2 linked regions of the Mytilus edulis genome follow. The protein of the gene in region 1 purifies or fractionates together with the protein of each later gene. This does not show direct contact. Links are inferred from orthologs where the notes say so. Each region holds a gene or a part of one and is shown in the gene's direction. Other genes may lie near its edges. The genes, in order: ubiquitin-like modifier-activating enzyme 6 and ubiquitin carboxyl-terminal hydrolase 48-like.

Region 1 (13,767 bases):
TCGATTATTGTGATGTTTGGTAGTTATCTCCCTTAATGTATAAACCTAGACATAGAATTCCATTCTCAATATCATTATGCATGTTATAGGGTGATTTGAAGCATGACATATATCTTGAAGAGATACATTGCATACAGAATGCATTGGTCACTTTTTGGTATATTGTTGTTTGATTGCTGTCAATGATATCTCATGACATTGACATAAAAAAATCAAAACGCTGTAAGTGCTGAAGGCAGTTAACCAAAAACCAAGGCAACCGTAATTATGAAAACTGTGGCAATGTTGCCTCAACATTAAACATTCATATATAGTACATTCATGTTTATCTAATGATTTATTTATTAAGGCAAATAATTTACATGTTATCAAGGTTTCAAAAGCAATGCATATATCAATGTATATTTTTTTATGGTGAGTCTGCAGTGGTACAAGTTCCCAATGATTGCAGTTGTTCTACTTGGTAGTTAACCTTGGTTTTATTTGACTGCTAGAAGTTCAATTTGACTTAGTATGAACATGTAATAGTATGAATGGACTGGTTTCCCTGGAAAGAAAACTGAGTTTGTGTTCTATAGTACAAAAGTTATGAGACACGAATCAGACAAATGTCCACTACAACAGGGATCAAAGGTGAGGTCTGACGGACCTGCCCATAGTAAATGTAAATGATTTGTTATTTTGTCCCATACATATGAATATATATAATTTAGGGGTGGGGATCTCAACGGTTTTCAAGTTCTCAAAGTAGGCAGAGGATTTAGGGGGGCAGGGGGCCCGCCCCACCCCCCCCTTTTTTGGGAAAAAAATTGGTTTCTTATACAGGGAACCACTGGAACGGGCCCCACTTAGGTCGGTCAGTGGGCCCCACTTATGAAAATTTCTGGATCCGACACTGGGGGTAGGGTGACCCTAGAGACTTCCCCTACATTTCATTTTATTTGTTATATTGTCCCATACATAAATATATACACTGTATGGTTTAGGGGTTGGGATCTCATTGGTTTCCAAGTTCTCAAACAGGAGGGGTAGGGTGACCCCAGGGACTCCCCCTATATTTCATTTAGTTAGTTATATTGGCCCATACATGAATATATATTGTTTTGGTGTGGGGATCTCGACCGTTTCCAAGTTCTCAAACAGGAGGGTTGGGGTGACCACAGGGACTTCCCCTATAGTTCATTTGATTTGTTATATTGTCCCATACATGAGTATATATGGTTTAGGGGTAAGGATCTTGACCATTTCCAAGTTCTCAAACAGGAGGGTGAACAGTGACCTCAGGGACTCCCCCTATCTTTCATTTGAATTGTTATATTGTCCCGTACATGAATATATATGGTTAAGGGGTGGCGATTTCAACAAGGTTTCAAATTCTCAAACAGGAGGGGGTGGGGTGACCCAAGGGACTCCCCCTATATTTCATCTGATTTGTTATATTGTCCCATACATGAATATATATGGTTTAGGAGTGGGGATCTCGACCATTTTTAAAATTCTAAAAACAGGAGGGGTGGGGTGACCCCCAGCGACTCTTCCTATATTTCATTTGATTTTTCATATTGTCACAAACATGAATATATATGCTTAAGGGGTGTGGATCTCGACCGTTTCCAAGTTCTCAAACAGGAGGGGGTGGGGTAACTCCAGAGACTCCCCCTATATTTCATTTTTTATTTATTATATTGTCCTATACTTGAATATATGCAGGGGTTGATTCAGACGGGGGGAGGGTTGCGGGCTTGCCCACCCCTTAAATTTGCAAAGCATGGGTTGTTCTTAGCTTAATAAAGAATATTCCGATAATTTTACCTCAAATTTTTCTAGCCTCGCTCTGCTCGGCAAAAATTTAAGTTTGCACCCCTCCTAACCTAAAATCCTGGATCTGCCCCTCATATGGTTTAGGGGTGGGGAGCTCGACCGTTTCCAAGTTATCAAACAGGAGGGGGTAGAGTGACTCAAAGAATACCACCTATATATCATATGATTTACTTACATTAAGGTATATATAATATAGTTGCATTATTTGTGAAAATAAAGAAAGAAACTTTCAGCTACTTTAATTGACCCTTCAAAATTGAGAAAAACAAATAACCCTTCAAAATTGCAGTAATATGTTTACACTTTAAAAGCATCTCACATGCATTATCATCATTTATCATTTATAAAGAAAATTTAGACTGTGACCATGAACATGTATATTATTAGATATACTGTTCCCAGCTGTCACTTTGTATTGGATTTTTAGATTAAAAATTTGTCAAAAAGTAATTTTGAGTTTCTGAATAAAATATTTTTCTGATTTTTCTTTCTTTTACATATATCTTTTGGTTTACAATTCTAGTGTTTATATTCATTAATTTACCATGCATAGATGTGTTGTTTCACCTGCTTGGATTTATTTTGTAAATGATCGCCAAACCCGGAAGTACCCTTATCCGCTTCCGGAATCGGATCCGATATTATAAAATTTGGTCTTCACGGCCGCCATTGTTATGTGTTTACAATGCTGTTTGTGTCAATCAGATACGATTTTACTCGAATTTATACAATATTTGTCGGCGATTTTCTGCATAAAGCTAGCGGTTGAACAAAATGAACATCGCTGTCACGACTAATAATGATAAAAATAAGTTTTTAGCTCGTTTAATTGGAGACTTTGGTGAACATGGTGAAAAGGTTTGCAAAGTAATTTCTTGTTTTCTTTCAAGTGGAAGGTGACTACGTCGGGCGTAGCTAGAAACTAACTATCCTATTCGAAATTCCGCTTGCAAAAGTGGACGGTCGCGGACCTCGGACCACCGCTAATTTGCACACTTGCCTCCAAAATGAAAAGCTACGAAAATTTCTTTTTCCAATTTGAAATTGCCGCCAACAGCATGAACAGTTGAACTTATTATATAATAGACTACTGACGTAGTTGTACTACGTATTGATGACAAACAATATTCCTACGACTTTTGTCATTTGGGAAATCTAAACTACTTGTCTTAAGAGATTTTCGGCGATTAAATATTTCATACAATTGTTCTTTGACATCTTAGCTAAAAGCACAAGTCATAATGAACTACACAAGGATTCTTAATAAGCACTACTTCCTATGTGTAACTTTAAAACTTTTGGATAAATTGACGATCATTTAAGGTTTTTCTGGTCATATTTTTTGTAATCCAGAATAAAAAGTATTAAAAAAGTGTTCAATTAGTTATATATAACATAGTAGCGAGCTAGATAATAACAATGGCAAGTATTTCAGCATTTATTGGGTAGAACACAAATCTAGGGTGCTCGCATAATGCAGCTTAACTGCATAAAAACATATTTATATATTAATTGCATAATTTATATACACACTACATTTTGAATATCACTATAATAAAGCATATCTCTATTTTATTATGTTATTCCTCTATTGTAACCATACCAAAACTTGCTTCCCGTTCCACTGTTCTGTAAGCCATGTCTCAACTCTGAAATAAATATACAACTTAATTGGATTAAATTCATTTAAAATTGATCGACAAGGACAGTTTTCAGTAGCAAATATCACATACCTACTTAGCAAGTTAGGGAAAAATATGATTTGCGTAAGCCATGTTACAGTGTTTAAGTAATAGACAGACATATATATATATATAAACAAGTCTAAATTGAAAACTACGTTCAAACCTATGATTACGTTGGATAAAAACCGCAATTTTTATACGTGTGCATGTAAAACAAATTTCGTTGTAGAAGGGTCTAAATATATAATAGGCTCAATCAACCTGTAGATTGCAGATATTGTTAGAGGTATTTGGACTCATTGCTACATGAAGGATGTCCAAAGTCAAATGTATCACCGTACTTTACATGTACATTTGTAGTATCAACATAAAAATATCATTGTCAAAATTCAGGGCTACATGTAGTTTCACTAACCCCATATTCATATATGTAGTGTTGCATAGTATAGATAATATCAATTGGATGAGCCTATTTACTTTAGCACCAACTAATAATACTAGATGTCACTCCTTAAACCTCTTTTAGAAACAGTGTAAGAAGACACATACATCAGTCAGGGGTACTACTTATACAAGTAATTTACTTGTATACATGTAGGTAAAAAAAAAACCTAGTTATGTCCCTTAGACATTCAGATGTCATTCTATCTTCTTTTCTTGAATTCTTAGGATTTCTTTGCTCTAATAGAATTTTAAATGGTCTGCCCTTTGCAGATGACTTTACTAATCATTTACTGTAAGTGTCATTTGATGGACAATGAAAATCCCATTTGTTTGTTATCTTCAGAACACTGCTCATTTAAAAGCCCCCAAGGAGCAATTTTTGAAGGCCTTGCACAAATACTTAAAAAGTAAAATCACAAAAATACTGAACTCCAAGAAAAATTCAAAAAGGAAAGTCCCCAACCCTTACCATGCGGTGACTGTCATGGGGGGGAGACCACTGTTATTTGGCTACAAAATATTTTTAGAAGTACGCTTTATGATACTTATACTTGTACAAGTAGTACCCCTGACTGTACATGTAGACTAAATACTTTTTTCAATTGGATCAGTGGAACAGCCTTCATATTTAACAGTGACAGCAAAGACTTTGAATAATTTTAAGTCAGTGTTAAATGTGAGAATTGGAACCCATATAAATCTATATATTCATGTTAATTGTTAAGCTAAGCGCACCTTAATAAGTTCTATTTTTATAAGTATAATATATATAAATCATTTTTCTGTTTGTGTGTGTAAATATATTTTTATGTGATTATTATGAGATGAGAAATTGCATTACAACAATCCAAGATGAGGGGTCAGTAGAAGACTTTGGCTTATTTCAGGACCCGAAAATAAAGTATAAAGGTGGTTTTCTATCAATTTCAATATGAACATACATTTAGTATGTTTAATAGTATAGATATATTTTACAGACTTAAGATGTATTGAGTGAAAGTAAAGTATATATTCATCATTTAACACCATTTAAATAAGTTGGTTCGAGTTAGCAGTGGTACAAGTGTAACGGCGACCCTATGTTTTGGAACAGAATTATGTCCCTTTAAAATGGACTGTTGTAAAATTAACATTTAATTACTATTGTTAATATGAATTATTGATAAAAATTGTTGTTTAACATGTTTATACATTTAGTTACATTATTGTGCTATAACTCATTGAATTTATTCTCATATTTTGTTGAATTTGCAACTTACAGTTTAGTTATAGAGTGTTCATATTTGAATAGTATTTATTAAATAACTGATAATTTAAATAATTGTACGGGGCTTGTTTTCATAAGCCATTTGGTTGATAAAACGACCTCTTATTTTAGCTTTTTAGTAAGAGCTTACTGGTGTTGCACACCTCGATGTCTAACTGGTCTTGCACAGACCTCAGTCACTATTTACACAAAAGGTCTGGCACAGACTTCATTGTCTAGATGGTCTTGCACAGACCTTGCTCACTGTGTACACGAAAGGTGTTGTCAACACGAAAGGTGTAATGCATTTCACAGTATCTAGACACAATGTCGCTGTTGTGTCTAGAATTATAATGCATTTAGCTAGACAAAGGTTAAAATGACAGATTAAGCTATGTCACTTTTAAACTGTATGTGAATTTTAACTTGTTGTTCATATTCATGTTTCATGTTTTATCTTTACAAATTGTTGATATTTGTGGAATTATATGTAATTTGCTAATAAACTATGAAAACTTGCTAGTGTTAAGTTTTGCAAAGCCAAATATGAAGGATCAGAGACTCAGGATTCCTATACCTACTCTTTACACGGTCTGGGGTAAAAATATGTTAAAGTTGACACAGAAAATACACAACGTAAAAACCCCTCCGGTTACATTTTGGTGGCAGCGGTGGGATCCTGAGGTGAAACATCTGATCTTCTCATTAGGCGGCAATGCTATTGATATAGTTAAACATGTTAAGTAAAATTGTCAAATTTTAATATTGTAAAATAAATGTCATTATGCTTGCTTGATGTTAATTTTGATTTTAAAAGATATTGCCATGTATATGTATGTAATAATGATGAGTAATCATTTCAGTTTAACTTTAGAGACTGATTATAGATTGGCACAGAGATAAAGTATGTATTGATATTGATAGAATGTAAATGCAATTAATTGCATAGATGATAAATTTGAAATGGTTTAAAGAAAGCTTAACTTAGATTGTTTAGATAGAATGGTATATTTTGATTATATTTGTCTTACTTAACACATTCAGTAATTACACATAGCTCAATATAAATGTGTATGAATCCGCAGGAACAGCATTGTAAAGTACCTCATTGTTGTATCCTTTAGACCCATGAAAAGGGATGTCGCTTACATCATTTTATTTTATGCTAACTTGCTTCAAGATTATTATGTTTATGTGGATATAAGCTTGGATGTCAACATAATTGTTTCTGCCCGATTGACGTGTTTTAATCGCTAATGTGTGCCTCTGGTTCACGTAATCGCTTTTGGCCTTTTATAATAAAGTGCTGGTTGTTGCATGATTGTTTTATTCTATAGTAAATATCTCTTAAACACATACAGAATACATGTATCTACATCTTAGACAGTTACATTATTTCCATAGCATTTGACACAACAGTTTACTGGGTGACGATTCAGTTTTACTATTTGTTTAATTTTGTTGTTCAATTTTTCAGCACTTGTTTTCAGTTTATGGTGATAATATGAGATAATATACGCGTGTTAGAACTTATATTGGAGATGACCTGGCCAGCATTTCTAGTATTCAAATGGTGAATGAGTTGGACTGTGTACCGTGTGCAATATATATGGATGAAAATACTGTGTGTATATAATGGAGATTCATACCAGCCTTGTTTTTAAACTTCATGGCTTCAGTTTTTTTAAGGAGGGAGGAATGTAACGGCGACCCTATGTTTTGGAACAGAATTATGTCCCTTTAAAATGGACTGTTGTAAAATTAACATTTAATTACTATTGTTAATATGAATTATTGATAAAAATTGTTGTTTAACATGTTTATACATTTAGTTACATTATTGTGCTATAACTCATTGAATTTATTCTCATATTTTGTTGAATTTGCAACTTACAGTTTAGTTATAGAGTGTTCATATTTGAATAGTATTTATTAAATAACTGATAATTTAAATAATTGTACGGGGCTTGTTTTCATAAGCCATTTGGTTGATAAAACGACCTCTTATTTTAGCTTTTTAGTAAGAGCTTACTGGTGTTGCACACCTCGATGTCTAACTGGTCTTGCACAGACCTCAGTCACTATTTACACGAAAGGTCTGGCACAGACTTCATTGTCTAGATGGTCTTGCACAGACCTTGCTCACTGTGTACACGAAAGGTGTTGTCAACACGAAAGGTGTAATGCATTTCACAGTATCTAGACACAATGTCGCTGTTGTGTCTAGAATTATAATGCATTTAGCTAGACAAAGGTTAAAATGACAGATTAAGCTATGTCACTTTTAAACTGTATGTGAATTTTAACTTGTTGTTCATATTCATGTTTCATGTTTTATCTTTACAAATTGTTGATATTTGTGGAATTATATGTAATTTGCTAATAAACTATGAAAACTTGCTAGTGTTAAGTTTTGCAAAGCCAAATATGAAGGATCAGAGACTCAGGATTCCTATACCTACTCTTTACACGGTCTGGGGTAAAAATATGTTAAAGTTGACACAGAAAATACACAACGTAAAAACCCCTCCGGTTACACAAGTTTGCATTGGTACGAGTTTTTTTTTAGTGGTACGAGTTGACGTTGGTACGAGTTTACAATGGTACGGGATAACTATAATTCAAATGTCGCTATTGGTTATCAATGCACATGAGTCATGATGCACAGTAAAACTGAAGGACCTTTGAGAATAGTCACACAATATCTGTTTTCAAACTAAAACGTATAATTAATATAGTGTATTTGTAAAGCATGTCTATTTGTAATTATAAACATGTCAATGAAAACCAAACGGATGTACATATGCATAATTTCTTCAGTGGTTTTTATGTTTATAATTTGTGACAGTCTGATTTTTACAGTACTTCAACTTCGTTTTGACTTCAGTGTTGCAGCTCTGGTGCTTTAAAACAAGAATTCGCTAACAATTAATTGTAATTACCATTTTCATACTATATTCTCTGTTATTATTGTCCTTTTATTCTCGATGATGTCATGGTCAGCAGCGAAATGACAATTCAAGAAAAGATAATCTATTATTGATTTTATAATGTCAACTTCCGGTTTAATATTGAGAGGCTCAAGAAGGGTTATTATTTGATCTATTAGATCTACCAGGTATTAAGTTGAAGTATTTCATGTCGAATAACCTTTTATGAATATGAGTAACTATAAATGTTCATTGGGTTTATTTTCTGTTACATGAATAATAAGGAAATAATAATAAAAATCGTTTATGCAATTTACTAATACCTGAGGATTTTTTTTAATTCTGGCTTTTGTGCTTGTCTATACAATTTTACTATATGTCTGCAACTACTTAACATAGTTTTAAAATTATTCGTTTCTTTCGTTAAACTATTCAAGAAATTTGAAATAGGGCCTTTGAGTCCTTTGAAATAATTATGAGTTTTTTTACGAGATATCAGAGCCAAGTTCGGGATGACAATATTTATATTTTTTAATTTTCCGCTGGGCTTTCACAACTTCCGGTTAATCTGGAGTGATTTCCCTTTGGAAATGTTTTTTATTTTGCAGTTTCTAGCTCTTTGTTTCTGATACAAGCTGCATAATGTAAGCATATTGACAGTTATACACTTCAATCAAGTATTTTTGTTATGAAGATGAAGGTTGAGTCCCTTTTTCATGACTAATAACATATTCAAAATATTTGGTTTGTGCTATTAAAAATTTCTAGCTTTTTGGGTCCAAATTATAAAAACAACTATTTTTTGTTATCATCTCCTATTATATATGTAAGTTCGTGGTCTAGTTATTTAGACTGATGTGTACAGTGCTGAAGGTTCTGAGTTTGTCTAGGGTGTTAAAATATCAGTACAACAGTGGTGATTTTAACCCTCTGACACATATCTCTGTCTCTGGTACCCAGACCGTAGTAAAATCTAGAATAGGTAATTAGGAGGCCTTAGTTGGTCAAAGTTTCTCTGGAATTTGATCTGGAGATCAATCTGCGGATATCTTTTCGGTACTGTTTTCTGCCATGCAGCCCGGTGGTACTTACAGAGTTCTTCGGCTTTCTCCACCATAATAACAGATTCTGCCCTGTGTCCAAACACTCCCTCATGTTTGGGTGGGAATTGTCTTTGTAAATATTGTTGTAAACATGTTAGTGACACATCTTCATTTATCCCGATAGGGAGTGAACACAGATTCCACTGTGCCTACATGTATGCAGCTCTCAAGGGGTGCTCCTTAAACCGAGGGATCTACATACACACAGTACCATTCAAACGGATCGATTCGATTTCCGAGTTTTTTGAAGCCACACAGAGTACCGCGGATTTCACTCCCTAATTCCTGCAAAGATTCTCTCCCAACTCCGCGTGGCTGTTAATTGGTTTATTGCCCATCGGATGTACTAAAAATTAACAAGGCGTAACAACATAATTGGATTAGCCAGATAATTTACCTATGTACATTTTGTACATTTAATCGATCTTGATTGCACAGGTGTGCTATAAAATCACGGTATTAAAATTTTTTAACAAATGTTTTCCTTCCTTTGTCAGATAAAGATGTGAAATTATAATTTAGAATAAAATAATTATTATCTTACAGGTTTTTGTCCCATGTCATTATCTTTGAAATAATTTTACCAAAAAAAAAATGAAGAAATTTATTTAAACTCAATTTATTGAGCAATGTAAAATATTATGTTTCACCACCTCGATACATTTATACAGACTTGAATAATTAAAATTAAGAAAAGAAACTGTAAAGTGACAACTCTGTTGAACAATTGGAATAACTTCAAGTGATTTTGCTAGTGTTCGTCATTTTCGTATTTTACGAAACGGTTTTCAAATTGACGAAAGTATTTTATATCAATTGCGTCATTTAAGTTTTGAAAATGTAAAAATATATCGCATTAAATTACTATAATTTTACCTGCCTTCATGTTTTTGACAAGTTTATGACACTCAGCCATTGAACGTTTACAAAAGATGTTAAAAGTTGTGATAAGTAATCTGCTTATCGCCATCCGATAGGTCACTAATCCTTTAAATATTATTAAACCTCAATTGCCCATCATAATATTCTGTTCCATATGAGCGTCACTGATGAGTCTTATGTAGACGAAACACGCGTCTGGCGTACTAAATTATAATCCTGGTACCTTTGGTAACTATTCCAGTTAAATCAGTCAGCGTTTCATTTTCAAAATTTCTAAATTGCCCACAGTTGGCAGTTTTTTATCATATTTTTGTCATTTGATCACAATTGATTCCCCCGTTCAATATCTCATCATAATTTCAATTTTTCATCAACCATAAATTTATATTATTGACCATGGACGTATAACTAATGTTCAGGTCTATGTCCTGTTTTGACCGATAATATAAAAAATTAAATAGCTAAAGAAGATGTGTTTTTGTTTATTCGGAAAAGAATTATATTTTAGATTAGATACATTTTGTGTAGTTAATCAATTGTTAAAGGACCTTGTGGAGCCTCAATAGAAACGCACAAAAATGTCTTTCTGCAACTTTTAAACCTGAATGAATTTTCCCACGGTCGTCCAGAAAGATCACCTGAGTTTACTGGTACGTGATATTATTTGCCGCCCTTTAAAAATCTTGTGCTGCGGATAAAACCAATGTTAACTATTGTTATACGTCTGCAAAATTGAAAATTTTTTGGTCGTATATTGGTATCAAGTTGGCGCCATCGTCTGTAGTCGTCGTCGTAGTCGGATGACATTTGGTTTTCGCACTCTAACTTTATTAAAAGTAAATAGAAATCTATGAAATTTTGACACAAGGTTTATGACCATAAAAGGAAGGTTGGGATTGATTTTGGGTGTTTTGGTCCCGACAGTTTAGGAATTAGGGGACAAAAAGGGCCCAAGTAAGCATTTTTTTTGGTTTTCGAACAATAACTTTAGTATAAGTAAACAGAAATCTATGAAGTTTAAAATTATGTCTATAACCACAAAAGGAAGGTTGGGATTGATTTTGGGAGTTTTGGTCCCAACAGTATAGGAATTGGGGGCCAAAAACAGGTCCCAAATAAGCATTTTCTTGTTTTTTGCACAATAACTTTATTAGAAATCTAATTATTCTGATTTAGGGAGTTTTGGTCCCAACAAATTAGAGGCCAAAAGGGTCCAAAATTAAACTTTGTTTGATTTCATCAAAAAATGAATTATTGGGGTTCTTTGATATGCCAAATCTAACCGTGTATTCAGATTCTTAATTTTTGGTCCTGTTTTCAAATTGGTCTACATTAAGGTTCAAAGGGTCCAAAATTAAACTTAGCTTGATTTAAACAAAAATTGAATTCTTTGGGTTCTTTGATATGCTGAATCTAAACATGTACTTAGATTTGTGATTATGGGCCCAGTTTTCAAGTTGGTCCAATTCGGGGTCCACAATTGTTATATTAAGTATTGTGCAATAGCAAGAAATTTTCAATTGCACAGTATTCTGCAATAGCAAGAAATCTACAATTGCACAGTATTGTGCAATAGCAAGAAATTTTCAATTGCACAGTATTGCGCAATAGCAAGAAATCTTCAATTGCACAGTATTGTGCAATAGCAAGAAATATCTAATTGCACAATATTCATTGCTATTGTTGTCTTTTTTCAAAACTACCGGCTCTACCGTTTTTTATTGGGAAAAATGCATATTTTTATTGAAATTGGAAAATTTGTATATTTTATTTTGAACACATCTCCGATTTTTTGCTGACCTTTGCTGTCTTTTCTGCACTGTTTTTTCATGTATATTTTGGTTGTCAGACATTTTCAACCTGAAAGGTACTTTTTGGAGAGGGGAAAGACACAGAAACAATGATGGTACTTAATGCATTGAAAACTATGTGTTACAAACACCATGAAATTTTACAAAAAGGAAAGATGGACCAAGCAGTATGCATGGAATGCCAAGCTAACTGCCTCCATCTACGACTAGATTAGCTGCTTACATCTAATTATATGCTAAGACCTTGGCAGGAGTTCACCTTTTACTCAAATTTTACGATATATGAAAGATTTTCTCTTTTTTTATTAATTAATGATAATTTTTATTTTTTAATTGGTTACATTATCTCTTAAAATCTATTACCATACTGCCATATATTTAATCCCATTCTTATTGTTTTTGTTTGATCTACCGTACTTATTTTTACCTTTTACCCTTTGATTTTATCATTTTTCTTTCACATTTAAATCCTTTTTTTTTTTTTTTTTAAATCTATTAAACATATGATAGTAACGTCTCATAAAAAGGGATCAGAACTGTTTTTAAAATCATAAACTCCAACCTAGGTAGAATCAATTCATAAATGATGTAAATAGCACATAATTTTACACAATTGTTCTTAAAATTCACAGTTTTACCTATATATAAGGTTTTTTATATGACCGCAAAATTTGAAAATATTTTCGTCGTATATTGCTATCACGTTGGCGTCTGCGTTGGCGTCTGCGTTGTCGTCGTCCGAATACTTTTAGTTTTCGCACTCTAACTTTAGTAAAAGTGAATGGAAATCTAAGAAATTTTAACACAAGGTTTATGACCACAAAAGGAAGGTTGGTATTGATTTTGGGAGTTTTGGTCCCAACATTTTAGGAATTAGGGGCCAAAAAGGGCCCAAATAAGCATTTTCTTGGTTTTCGCACTATAACTTTAGTTTAAGTTAATAGAAATCTATGAAATTTTGACACAAGGTTTATGACCACAAAAGAACGGTTGGGATTGATTTTGGGAGTTTTGGTTTCAACAGTTTAGGAATTAGGGGCCAAAAAAGGGCCCAAATAAGCATTATTCTTGGTTTTCGCACTTTAGTTTAAGTAAATAGAAATCAATGAAATTTAAACACAATGTTAATGACTACAAAAGGAAGGTTGGTATTGACTTTGGGAGTTTAGGTCCCAACAGTTTAGGAATTAGGGGCCAAAAAGGGACCCAAATAAGCATTTTTCTTGGTTTTTGCACCATAACGTTAGTATAAGTAAATAGAAATCTATGAAATTTAAACACAAGGTTTATGACCATAAAAGGAAGGTTGGTATTGATTTTGGGAGTTTTGGTCCCAACAGAATAAGGGGCCCAAAGGGTCCAAAATTAAACTTTGTTTGATTTCATCAAAATTGAATAATTGGGGTTCTTTGATATGCCGAATCTAACTGTCATGACTGTGTATGTAGATTCTTAACTTTTGGTCCCGTTTTCAAATTGGTCTACATTAAGGTCCAAAGGGTCCAAAATTAAACTTAGTTTGATTTTGACAAAAAATGAATCAGTTAGGTTCTTTGATATACTGAATCTAAAAATGTACTTAGATTCTTGATTATTGGCCCAGTTTTCAAGTTGGTCCAAATCGGGGTCCAAAATTAAACTTTGTTTGATTTCATCAAAAATTGAATAAATGGGGTTCTTTGATATACCAAATCTAACTGTGTATGTAGATTCTTCATTTTTGGTCCTGTTTTCAAATTGGTCTACACTAAAGTCCAAAGGGTCCAAAATTAAACTTAGTCTGATTTTAACAAAAATTGAAATCTTGGGGTTCTTTGATATGCTGAATCCAAAAATGTACTTAGA
Region 2 (13,174 bases), on another chromosome or scaffold:
GACTTTTCCAAAGTTCTCTTTATCCGCCCCCTCCCGCGCCTGTCTTGAGGGGGGCCCATAATTTTGTATGTCTACTGCCCCCTCCCGCGCATGTCTTGCGGGGGGCCCATTTTCTTCATCTTCCTGTTTCTGTTTTCAGCATACCCTTTGATTTTCTCCTTGCATCGTCTGTCTCTTTCATTTATCTCCTCATATAAGTTTGAGTGATATCTTCTATTAATCTCCTGCTTAGCTGTTTTAGTGTTTTTCTTTTTTAACTTTGTTATTTGCTGTGCTTTGTTCATGGGTTTTCTAAATAAGTTCACTTCTGTATTTGCTATTTGGCGTCCTGGTGTGACTTGGTAGTGTTTAAATCCCTTATCAATAGCAAGTTTCTTAGAGTTGAAAGGTGGTCTATTGTATGGTATTCTCAACTGGTTTTTCTTTACAAAAGAACCATCAGTTCTAATCTGTATCATCCCTAGCTCAATCAGAATGGATTTGCTTAGTAAGGGTGGAGAATTGATTTTTCCTCTTACCACAATGAATTTTGTCTCTGTGCCACATGTTTTGTTTCTTATGATAGTTTTAAATTCTCCCTTGATTGGTAATGAATTTTGCAGTGTGCTCAACTTGATTTTACTCTTTTCTAATACTGGATTGCCGTATGTTTTGCTCTGAAATTTTACAAATTGATTTTCATCCATTACGTTTACATCAGCGCCACTATCAGGTTCCACCTTCACATCTACTTCGTCTATTCTTATTGTCACTGTTTTGTCCATGTCTCTACTGCCTTGTATGTTCGTTACCTTTCGTACTTTCATTATATGTTTGGTCGTTCCTCCAAAATAATCTTCATCTTCATCATAATCTGATATATCTGTATTCGAATCTGTATCAATCGTGTCCTCCGTTGTTTTCTTTACACTTCCTCCTTCTCGTCTAAAATTGCCAGCTCTGTACTGTTGTTTTTTCTTTTCCGTTCTGCATACTGATGCAAAATGATTATATTTCTCACAGTTTCTACATTGTTTACCATATGCAGGACATTTGTTTCCCTCACAATGTTCAAATCCACAATAACCACAATTAGACTTGTTTATATAATCCTGTGACCTATTATATCTTGACCTGTTGCTTTGTACTTTATTTATGGAACTTGTACCTATGTCTCTGTGATCTCCTTTCATATCCTTCATCTGTAAACATGTGTCTTCCATCTGTCCTGCCTCTTCTACGAATTTATCTAAATTCCATCCTTTGCTTATAGCCCTCTTTATCAAATCCTGATTGGTTATGGTTTGAATACAATGTTCCAATATTCTTTCGTCGCATGTAGCTTCAAACTCACACTCATGTGCCTTTTCTCTCAGTCTCATTACATATGTTACTGTGTATTCATCTCTAAATGGCTTCATTTTTAAAAATAAATACCTGGCATGATGTTTGTTCTTCTTTGGCAAGTAATATTTATTTAGTTTGTTCTTTAATACTTTATACTCATCTTCTCCTTCTTCATCTCTTAGGCTTCTTTCCAATCTTGAAATATCTTTTCCTCCAAAAATGATTAATGCATCCTTTTTATCCGCAGGTTCTGTTATTCTGAAATATCTAAATTCCCTCTCTATACTTTCCATCCATTCTTCCCAATGTTTTCCTGTAGATATCTGATCATCCGACTGTAGAAACGGTTGTGATCGTAAATTTCTAGTTTCCGTAATTACCGTTATCTGCTGGGGCTCTCCTCGGTCCATAATCTTTATTTTATCAGTATCTTCTTTTAATTCCTTGTTTTAGCACTATCTTCTTTCAATTCTGTGTTCCGGTAAATTTTCTCTTTATTTGCGCTGCTAAACACTGCTTCCTTCTTTGTTTTTCATCCTCGTCGCCATTGAAAGATCTGAGCAAGACTTGATGGTTCAGATAGTAATTTAATAATGGCTGACAAATATACAATTGGTATCGCTGTAGCGAAGTTACGTAACAAGTAATTGTCCCGAAGGTTTGTGCGTGACGTTCCCGGAATAATCACAGATATTACAATACCAATCAGGGATATCAAAGATTTCAAATCATACCTAATCAGCAATAAAAATTCAATCAACAGTAATTAAAAGTAATTATAAAATAAAGTGTAACAATGCAGCCAAGAATTTTATCTAATTAATATTCTGTATTTAACTGTTAATAGATATACATAAATTTTAATATTTATAAATATATATTTCTTTCATTAATGTAACATATATACATATCATAAATGAAAATAGGGCGAACGAACCCAGGGCGAACGGATTACCAGGGCAAACAAACTCAGTGCGAACGAACCTAGGGCGAACATGTAATCAGGGCGAACAATCCCGATACCATTGTGTATAGTACAATGCATCTGATTAACCAAAATTAACTTTAAGCTTAACATTGACCATTGAACCAAGAAAACAATCTATTCACAGTCAATATGTAGTTGTGAGTTATGATTATATTCGGTCCGAGTTATCTTCATAGACATGCCTATTTGTTTTTTTTTTCTAGACGCATGTCGGGTCCGTTCAGATCGAATTATTCAATTTGTCTATTTTAACGCACTGTACCTCTACCGAAACAGCTTTTACAAGACCTGTTGGCATGGAAACATCACCATTTTTGAGATCCCTGTTTCTTTTACAAAGAACAAGCCGCTGTACACAAATATTATGCTTTTTCAAGCATGATTCAACGAGTTTTTCACAAGTTTTGATACTTTGTTGAGTCCACGTGAAACTTTCCATGTTTGTTTACATCGACTCTGCATCTTTCGTGCGTTTTGAATATTTGGGCTGTACTTGATTTGTCTACTTAAAATAATCTGATCACATTACGTATAACCTGTGACTATCTGCGAGTACTATAGTAGTCCCGGTAACCGAATAACTGTTACGTTTTGTTTTTGACATCAAGAAATGATTAAAAATTAAATATCAGTTTGTCGACACGGAGTGTGTAGGTCTTCCAATGAGCACCAAATGCGCCCATTTGAAACTGCCGTTATAAATCCCTGATTAGATTTAAGATAGAACTCAGAACTTGAGTGATCCGTAAAGATGAAAGGGATTGGAAACGTGGAAAATTAAATTTAGTCAACGATTTCGTTATATTTAAACATTTGACTTTACACAATTATTCTCCATTCCAAACTAAACTTTGAAGGCAAATTGAAAGAATTTCTATTGCTTTGTTTATAAAAAAAAGAATGGCCAACGTAAATACAAGTATCTTGTCTTAGAGAGGGATAAATTCTACCTTGCAAAAAATCATTCAACATGTTGAATGCATCTATCCCATCGAACTAAAGATAAAAGCTGCCGCATATCTTAATTTACGTCTAGAAATTGACAATAAGAGTCGGTTGAAAAGTCTTTTCAGTGAACTCTCCATTTCTATGTAGCAACATTACACAGCGCTTGCATTCTCAGATCCGGACATCCTGGCATTTACATTTGTCAGGAGGTGATGTCATCCGGAATCCTCTAGATTTTTCATCTATTTGAAGGGGATTACTGATTATTTATATTGCCGATTATTTTTTAACCAGAGGTTATAGTATGTTAAAAATCAAAATAGAGATATTATATAGTGTCTTTAACAGTATTAAAAGAGTAAAATTACTATATTCAACTGGTTACGATATATATCAATTAAATTAATTTGCAATAAGTCTATAGACTAATAGTCTAATAAAATCTAGAGGAATCTTATCCGCATCACCTCTCAACATTGTTTACATAACAAAAATGCTAATCATTTATTGGTCAGTTACATGTTGTGATGTCACTGCAGATCTGAGAATACGAAGTATTTGTCTCCCAATTGATACAATATTCCTGAGCTTGTACTTCCTATTATGATTTTTTTTATAGAGGTTTATAATTTGCTGCTCACAAGAAAGCTATAGCTTTTTACCAAGAGTTCCAAATGGTGAAGTTGAAATCATCCCTTGGCTGACTCCATTATAGAATATCCGTTTTACAGTGATCGAATATTTTCCTTATATGTCGTGACTACAATCCGTTCCCTTTTCAAGAATGTGACATACCTACTTAGGCAAATAGTATTTACCGGAATTGTAATAACATGAGCAACACGACGGTGCCACATGTTGAGCAGGATCTGCGTATCCTTCCGAAGAATCTTAGATCAACACCAGTTTTTGGTGGGGTTCGTGTTGCTTAGTCTTTGGTTTTTCTATGTTGTGTCTTGTGTTCTAGAAGTTGTCTGTTTGCCTTTTTCTTTTTTTAGCCATGGCGTTGTCACTTTATTTTCGATATTTGATAAAATATACTCGGAAGATGTGGTATGCCTGAGTGCCAATGGGACAACTCTTCATATGAGTTCGAATGTGCCTCTGGTATCTCTCGTCCCTCTTTTATAACACAACTTAAAACCTTTACTAAATTATTTCAATAGAATCAAAGATTTTGGTTCGGTACTTGTGGAAAACTTATTATAAACGGGATCTCACATCCTAATTTGAACGGTGATGTTGTTTACCGAACTGCCGGTAGTTTGTTTTTGTTGCATTTGAATAAATGTATGTAATGTCATCAAATCAATGTATAAATAAATAACAGATTTTTGCAGAAAGCCGTCTAGATTTTCTTATTTTGTTTGGCGACCAAAAAAAGACTATCCTTGTATTGGAATCTACACCAAATAAATCATTTAATTTGTTTCAATGTTCACATGTTGATGACTACAAACCCTATTGTGATAGTTGTAACATGTATTTGTGAAAAAAAAAACCATACCATGTTTTTATATGTGTAGCTTGAGTTCAATTAAAGGCAGTCATCGAATGGTGCTATCATGTATGTTTATAGTAACTGAGTAAATAATTAATTCGTCCAACTATCTTGGTAGTAGAGTTAATGCAGAAGGAAATATCAAAGAATTAAGAAGTCAACATCCGTATTGGTAAAATCTGGTAAAGCAGCTACTGCATTCAAAAGTCTAAAGAACATTCTTATGAAAAATCAACAGAATTTCTAGAAAGACTAAAATTAGATTGTTTATATATGAGCAATGTTAGATCAGTTCTACTATACGGTCCAGAAACATGGAATTAAACTTAACAAGTTCTACAGAAAATCGAGTTAGAGGATTTGAAGGACGCTGTTAGAGATGCATTGTTAACATCAATTGTAATTTCAAGCAGTGAGCTATCAGAAAGAACCGGTGTGATGAATATAGTATATAAATATATATGAGATCACGAAAAGGCGGTGGAAATATATTGGACACATATTCAGAATGGATAACAACAAGGCATGTGAAAAAAGTGCTGACGTGGACACCACAAGGGACAAGAAAGTCTGGAAGACATAAAGGCACATGGAGAAGAGATATACCAGCAGAGATTTAAAAAAAAACATGGTTACACCTGGACTCAGATAGAACGAGTTGGAGGTCCGTTGTTGGTGCCTTATATCTTCAAGAACACGAAGAGGATTAAAAAAGTAAGTATGCTGATAGAGAAAGAGTAAACATATTTTCCAATTACCGACTGCAGAGACATTACATGTACATGTATATAGTACTATTATAGTTGTTTTTGTCGAACTTTTCCAATTTTATACCATTTTCAACAAACTATGAGGGATATAAACATTAGTGTCTTAAAAAAAATATCCGGCAGTACACCGATAATTGACCATACAGTCTTGTGCTAAAGACTATAAACCATATACTAGTCTGGCATGAGCTGTCGAACCATTTTCAAATGGAAACATCTTTTAACCAATTCGAAAAAAAATGGAGCATACTATGCTTTTAACTTTTATATGTCATCTATGGTATCTGCACTGTATGTTTAGAATTGTGTGCTTTTCATGACTTTTGTATGTATATATTTTGTTATTCAGTCGATTTTAAAAGCTCGCTTGAGCTTGTGTTATGAAGTTTTGTTGAATATCGACTTAAAATAAAATTGAATTGAAAAAAGTGTGACAGTAGTCTCAGACTAAAGAAAACCTTTCTTCTGTCTTTTTTTAAAACAATTTATCAGATTGAAAATATATCAGTTTATTTAGAAATAAAATTAACGGTACCAATTTTCTTGCACCAGATGCGCATTTCGACAATACATGTCTCTTCAGTGATGCTCGTGGCCAAAATATTTCAAATCCAAAGCTTATATAAAAGATGAAGAGCTATAATCCAAATGTGATGCTAATGTAATTGAGTCAAATGAATGTTTATGCCAGAAATGACCAATGACGAATTTGTTTGATTCCATTTTGTTGCTTTCCATTTTCGTTCCATTCTCTCCATTCCCGGTATTCCATTTCATTCTCCGTTCCATTCTCTATTCCTTCTACATTCCATTCTCCATTCCATTCCCCATTCCATATTCCATTCTCCATTCCATTCTATATTCCATTCTCCATTCCATATTCCATTCCATATTCCATTCCATATTCCATTCCATATTCCTATCCATATTCCATTCCATATTCCATTCCATATTCCATTCTCCATTCCATATTCCATTCCATATTCCATTCTATATTCCATTCTCCATTCAATATTCCATTCTCCATTCCATATTCCCATATTCCATTTTCCATTCCATATTCCATTCTCCATTCCGTATTCCATTCTCCATTCCATTCTCCATTCCATTCCCCATTCCATATTCCATTCTCCATTCCATTCTATATTCCATTCTCCATTCCATATTCCATTCCATATTCCATTCTATATTCCATTCTCCATTCAATATTCCATTCTCCATTCAATATTCCCATATTCCATTTTCCATTCCATATTCCATTCTCCATTCCGTATTCCATTCTCCATTCAATATTCCATTCTCCATTCTATATTCCATTCTCCATTCCATATTCCATTCTCCATTCCATATTCCATTCTCCATTCCATATTCCATTCTCCATTCCATATTCCATTCTCCATTCCATATTTTATTCTCCATTCCATTCTCCATGATTCGGACCTCTTCATTCCATTCTCCATTCTCCATTCTATTCTCCATTCCATTTTCCATTCCATTCTTCATTCCATTCTCCATTCCATTCATCATTCCATTATCCATTCCATTCTTCATTCCATTCTCCATTCCATTCTTCATTCCATTCTCCATTCCATTCTCCATTCCATTCTTCATTCCATATTCCATTCTCCATTTCATATTCCATATTCCATTCGCCATTCCATATTCCATTCTCCATTCCGTATTCCATTCTCCATTCCATATTCCATTCTCCATTCCATATTCCATTCTCCATTCCATATTCCATTCTCCATTCCATATTGCATTCTCTATTCCATTCTCAATTCCATTCTCCGTGATTCGGATTTCTTCATTCAATTCTCCATTCTCCATTCTATTCTCCATTCCAGATTCCATTCTCCATTCCATTCTCCATTTCATTCTCCATTCCATTCTCCATTTCATTCTCCATTCCATTCTTCATTCTATTCTCCATTCCATTCTCCATTCCATTCTCCATTCCATTCTCCATTCCATTCTCCATTCCATTCTCCATTCCATTCTCCATTCCATTCACCATATTCCATTCACCATATTCCATTCCATCCATTTTCATATTTACCATTCATCGTAACCGTTACATTCAATATTCCATTTAGGATTCCATTCTCCATTCCATTCTCCATTCAGCCCATTATCCATTCCATATTCCGTTCAATCTTCCATTCAATATTCCATTACATTCTCCATACTATATTTCATTCCAAAACGTTGCATGGATGTGATCCACTGAAAACAACATCCAAGCAAACTAGCCTTACTAAACATTGAACAACATGTTTCGAAAAGCGGCCAGTTTATTGTCGTCCTCGACCAGAATATATGAGTGATGAATCAAGCTCAATCTTTTTAAAGCATGTATCTGACCTTGATCAACCCGAAAAATTAGAAAGGGACAGAACTCTTCACTCTTGAATCTGAGGCGGGAATGACTATAATCGTCGTTTGAAATGACATTGTTTCCCCTTACATGTTCAGAAAAATAGTAAATATTCTTTCCTTATCTTATGAAAAGTTTCAGCTTTTGATTACACAAATGAAAACATTATTTCTGGTCCGAAAAAAACCAGCATTGATATTAAAAGTTTCGTTGTGAAAGTAGCATCACATATCCATTCATAAAAAATACAAGTTTGCTTATGTGCTGATTTCGTTTTAGAATATTTGGTATTTAGTGAACTGACATAAAAGAACAATACTTTTTTAATCAAAACAATTTAAACAAGACAAATCAACAGGGTTCAGGAAATACATGTATACAAATGTATTTATATTGGGTAGAATAATTTCTGGTTGGTCAGGTCACATAACCGCAAGCTTTAATACTTGTTTTTCTATATTTTTACTGTATTTATATATCAATTGGTTGAATCTTATTACATTTCAAATTTGAGAGTTTAATCATGAGAAATAAAAAGGTTGTTAGCATTTTCATTTGGCACTGTCATTGAGATTTATCCTGTCATTATTTTCCCTAGTCCAAATAATTATGACGTCTTGTAAGGCGTCAAAGAAAAAAATTATAATAGCCTTTCAAGACGTCATAATTATTCGGACTATATTTTCCCAAGCTTTAGAAAATAAAAATTTCATATTTTTTCTTAAATTTATGTATTAAACAGTCAGGGGACTTACTGAAATAAGTGATTTTTAAATCACTTATTTGAGTAGCAAATTCGAGGTTTTGTCACAAATTGGGATTATGTAGTTTTTTCAAAATTTTAAACACATAGGTTTAAATAATATCTTTTAATTAGTAAAATAAAAAAAAATGAACTTTTTGCTTCTTTTAAGTAGCAAGGTTTATGCCTTTGATGCTATCATTTAGCTGAAAATTCTATTTTAGTTGAAAAAATGCTATAATAATGGCTTTACATAATGAACTGATACTTTCTTAAAAGATTTTTCCCAGCAGTGGGAGTATTTTTCCTGTGAAGTTCAAGGTTTCATCTTTCAGATTATGTAATAAAATTCTACTGTTCGTGATAAAAATTCCACTGTTCGGGGGTGTTGAAATTAGTGGGGGTTATTAAAAGAATGATACTTAAAGAAGTGATTTTTGAGAAGGAAATTGAGGTCTGATACTTAAACAAGTGATTTTTATGTCATTATCCTAGATTCAGTACAAGGTCATCACCTGAAATGACCTGGTCATCCTAGACAACACAGATGTTGGTTCTGATAAGTTTAGAAACATAATTAGTCCCTGGATCATTAGTATTCTATATTTAAAGCTACAATAAGATTAAATCACTTCTTCTAGTGATTAATTTGTACTACTTAAATAGGTGATTCTTAAAGACAACTCTAACTTCCAACCTTTATGGAAATAATGTTACTTGAATCAGTGATTTAGAAAATCACTTATTTAAGTAAGTCCCCTGACTGTTAAAAGATGAAATCTTATATTTTAAATTTGAGAGTAACATTTGAGAAATAAAAAAAGCATTTGAATTTGGTCCTGTGACCTGTCATTGTCAGCATTTTTCATGTCATGTTTTCTGATTTTTTTTTTATAGTTTTTTATTAAAAATTAATGTTTTAAAAGACATTTCAAATTTGATAAAAATCCTTTGAGAAAAAAAAAAGTCATTAACATTTTTTTCATTTGGTCCAGCTGTCATGGTCAATGTTGGTCCTGTAATTGTCAGCGTTGGTCAGGTCATGTTTTCAAAAGCTTTTAAAAAATAATTCTATATTTTTTCTTAAATCTATGTATTTTAAAAATTATAAAATCTTATAATCTGATAACATATTAAATTTGAGATAACCTTGAGAAATAAAAAAGTAATTAGCATTTTCATTCTGGTCCTGTCATTTAGTCCAGTGACGTCACTCCACTCAGAAGTGTAACCTGTTTATAGTTGGTTGTTTCATGCTGATTCCTGTAAAAGTGTTTGCACTGATTCTTTGAGCTTTGAAAAGTGTTTTACTGTGATCTTAAAGAAATATATATATATATATATGTTGAAAATGTCATTGACTGGAAGTAAATATGATTTATCATAGTATACATGTATATATTATTTATGTCTAAAAATATTGTTTTGAAGGTACTTAAAAAAAAAACTTGTTATTAAGTTTATAAATTGATTTAATGAATTCCTGTCTAATGCTCAAAGTAATGAATGGGTATTCAGTAAATGTACATGAGACAATATTCTGATTAAAGCTCCCATAGGTAAAGTGTATTTCACTAGGCCCTTATTACTGTAAATTCAGAAATTATTGCATACATTTATTATTGCAATTTTCTTATTATTTTAGACTAAAATGCGATTTTAATTTTTACAATGTTGAGAAAAATCCTGTTTAAGGTAGCACAATACAAAGATTTTTCATTCTTTAAACTGATGTAATTCCACTCATCTTTCTTTAAATTTTATAAATGAGGTACCAAAAGAAAGAAGGATTAATCTTTCAAATTGTGATAATTTCATTATGACATAATTATTACATAATTAATTGTTATGTAATTAGTTGCCATATTGTGATGTCCATACTTGAATGAATTTAGCTTCTTTGTTATTCATAGCATCCCAAAATATTTTATAGATTCTTGCACAACACAGTTTGACCTTCAAAACCGTGTCTCAGATTTTTCCTATTGTATTTCATTCTCTCATAAATCTTCAATGAAGTTTGCAACATCAATTCATAAGAGACCACTAAATTCAATTAGGTATAAAATTTGTTCTATTGATGTTTTTGGAAATCTGAGACAATGTTTTGGAGGTCAAGCTGTGTTGTACAAGAATCTATAAAATATTTTGGGATGCTATGAAGAACAAAGACACTAAGTTCATTCAAGTGTGAACATCACAATATAGCAAATAATTATATATATTATGCATACAAATGGCACATCAATATAATTAATTATCTGCGAAATCGTCCCCCACTTTCAATGATGATTCTAAATTATAAATATAACCAAAAGTTGTTAATCTATAGATAGTTAAGACTAATGAAAGCTAATCCAATGTAAAAATATTTCTTTGCAATTTTTTAAAACTTCCTCAGAAAAATACTCGAGCCACTTGACTTTCTTAGCTCAAAATTAACGTTTTTACACAATATTTGAATAAAGTAGTTGAAGATTATTCGCTTCTCAAAGTGTAAGACGCAATAAAAATCGTATGCTTGCACCATCCTACCGAAATACGGATTTAAATAAAAGTCCTGAACATTTCAACATTTCTTCGTATATTTTGAACAAAACCGGTTTTAACCAAATCACAAGTACGTGTTAAGATCCGACTAAATACCTATTTTCCTATATGGTCAGGTAAAGTTGCTAGAGTGTATTTTTAATAATAAAAAAATAACCATTGAATCTTCCTCAATTGAAAAAAAAGACAACTTGAAAAAAAAGTATTAAGACATTCGACTTTTTTCATATTTCTACCAATATTTAATTATATGTGATGAGGTTATATTTTTGCCAGGCTTTAATGAAAACCAAAGAAATCTAAAGTTTGGGGTGAAATCCATAGCACCCCATTAAAAGTAAATGGTCTGTACTGAAATGTTTTTAATGCTTTAAAAAAAATTGGCAGCATAGCTCCTAAGGACATGTTTTAATTGAATTCACACAGGCCACACAGTTTGGGTATATTTAATATTGTAAGAAAGAGAATAATTGCAATGAGTGGGGCAGCCCCCCTTATCCTAAAGGAGCATACTCATTGCAATCAAAGATAGATTTAATATAGAGAGAGTATATTTATTTTTCAAGCTAACCATTCATTTTCTCTACATCTTTGTGAAGTTAGGGTCGTTCTTATTGATTTGGCATGATCTATATCCATTAACATTTCAAATGAGCCCTTCCTCCGTACAGGCGTGTTTACAGATATCCATGACGATTTAAGTCACAGAGGAGTGGTTTCATCTTTGTCGTCTTCACAACGATTTGTAGAAAATATGCCATACTTCAAGCTGCTGTCGAATTATTTAACCACTGAAATTGGTTCCATAAAGTCAGGCTCCACAGATTCTGTACCCGATTTGTTTGAGACAGAATGGTTATCGTGTCAGTTATGAATATCCGCTGTATCATCGTCAATGATATCATCACACATCATTACATGTGCCTGAATCTGTATAAACAGTTTACTAATAAACTTTTTTGTTTGTTATTTGTCTTAAAATTGACACGAGACGACAGCATAAAGTACTTCCCCGTGACTTCATGGATACCTGTAAACAATTTCCATGTGCTTTATCATTAAATGGTCACATGAACGCTTGACGGGAAGCTAAGAAAAACCGAACTTGAAATGCGTAATTGACCCAGACTTTAAATCATTTCCGGAAAGGACCCAAAGTTCCGGATCGCGTCAATAGAAGTAATAAAAAAAAAATTCTTCAAATTTAAAGCAATAAAATTTTCACAATCGGGAGGATTTTCAAGGGTCGGTCGGTAAACTGCAAACAAACAATATTTTAATTTAAGCCTTACCCTGTCGCATTTTTCACAATAATTTCTGAATTTACAGTACTATAGATTCATTTATTTTCATGGGTATCAATTTCCGTGGTTTAAGGAAAACTTACATATTCGTAGATATTTGCTTTCATGGATTTGACAAAGTCTGCACTCATTCCTATAGAAAATTTGTAATTCGTTGGACATTTAAATTCGTGGTTCTCTTGTACCTAGAAATCCACAAAAATTGGTACCCAATAAATATTAATGAATCCACAGTATACATGTATATAATTAATTGATGTCAATACATTCAAAGAAAGGACACAACACAGTCAAACCTTGTTGTGTTAAAACAGGATCTACGTTTTGCATTCAAGTTGCTATATATATGCTTGCTCTCAGCAATAAATTTTTTTTTTGGGTGTTAAATCTAATAAAAATGATTTTTCTCAAAAAGCTTAGGATACATTTTTAACTGGAAGTTTATATTCTTGCATTGAAATTGAGGATAAATTAAAATAAGGAAAAACACATTGAAAAGACTGCGAGCCTTCTAAACATTGTAATTAACTCTAGGATGATAGTAAAACTTCATTTGCAACCCTCAAATCTACAATTACCCATGAAAACTCTTGAAATACAGTACTGTTATTGTCTGATCACAGAATACTGAGGTCAAAGAACTTACTTTGCCTGATTCTAACTTTGAT

What was found.
Region 2: the proteins of ubiquitin-like modifier-activating enzyme 6 (region 1) and ubiquitin carboxyl-terminal hydrolase 48-like fractionate together in Homo sapiens (co-fractionation; 3 studies listed by BioGRID, with this or other methods). This does not show direct contact. The link is inferred for Mytilus edulis from reciprocal best matches to the Homo sapiens genes UBA6 and USP48.

What each region holds. Positions count from the first base shown.
Region 1 is NC_092347.1:10,917,643-10,931,409, reverse strand, and holds the start of ubiquitin-like modifier-activating enzyme 6, read left to right. Parts: upstream 1-8,659; 5' UTR 8,660-8,770; intron 8,771-13,767. Other genes in the region: ubiquitin-associated protein 1-like, read right to left, coding at 3,425-3,461. UniProt on the Homo sapiens protein: Activates ubiquitin by first adenylating its C-terminal glycine residue with ATP, and thereafter linking this residue to the side chain of a cysteine residue in E1, yielding a ubiquitin-E1 thioester and free AMP.
Region 2 is NC_092344.1:102,351,357-102,364,530, forward strand, and holds the start of ubiquitin carboxyl-terminal hydrolase 48-like, read left to right. Parts: upstream 1-7,889; 5' UTR 7,890-8,015; intron 8,016-13,174. Other genes in the region: DALR anticodon-binding domain-containing protein 3-like, read right to left, coding at 2,577-2,753.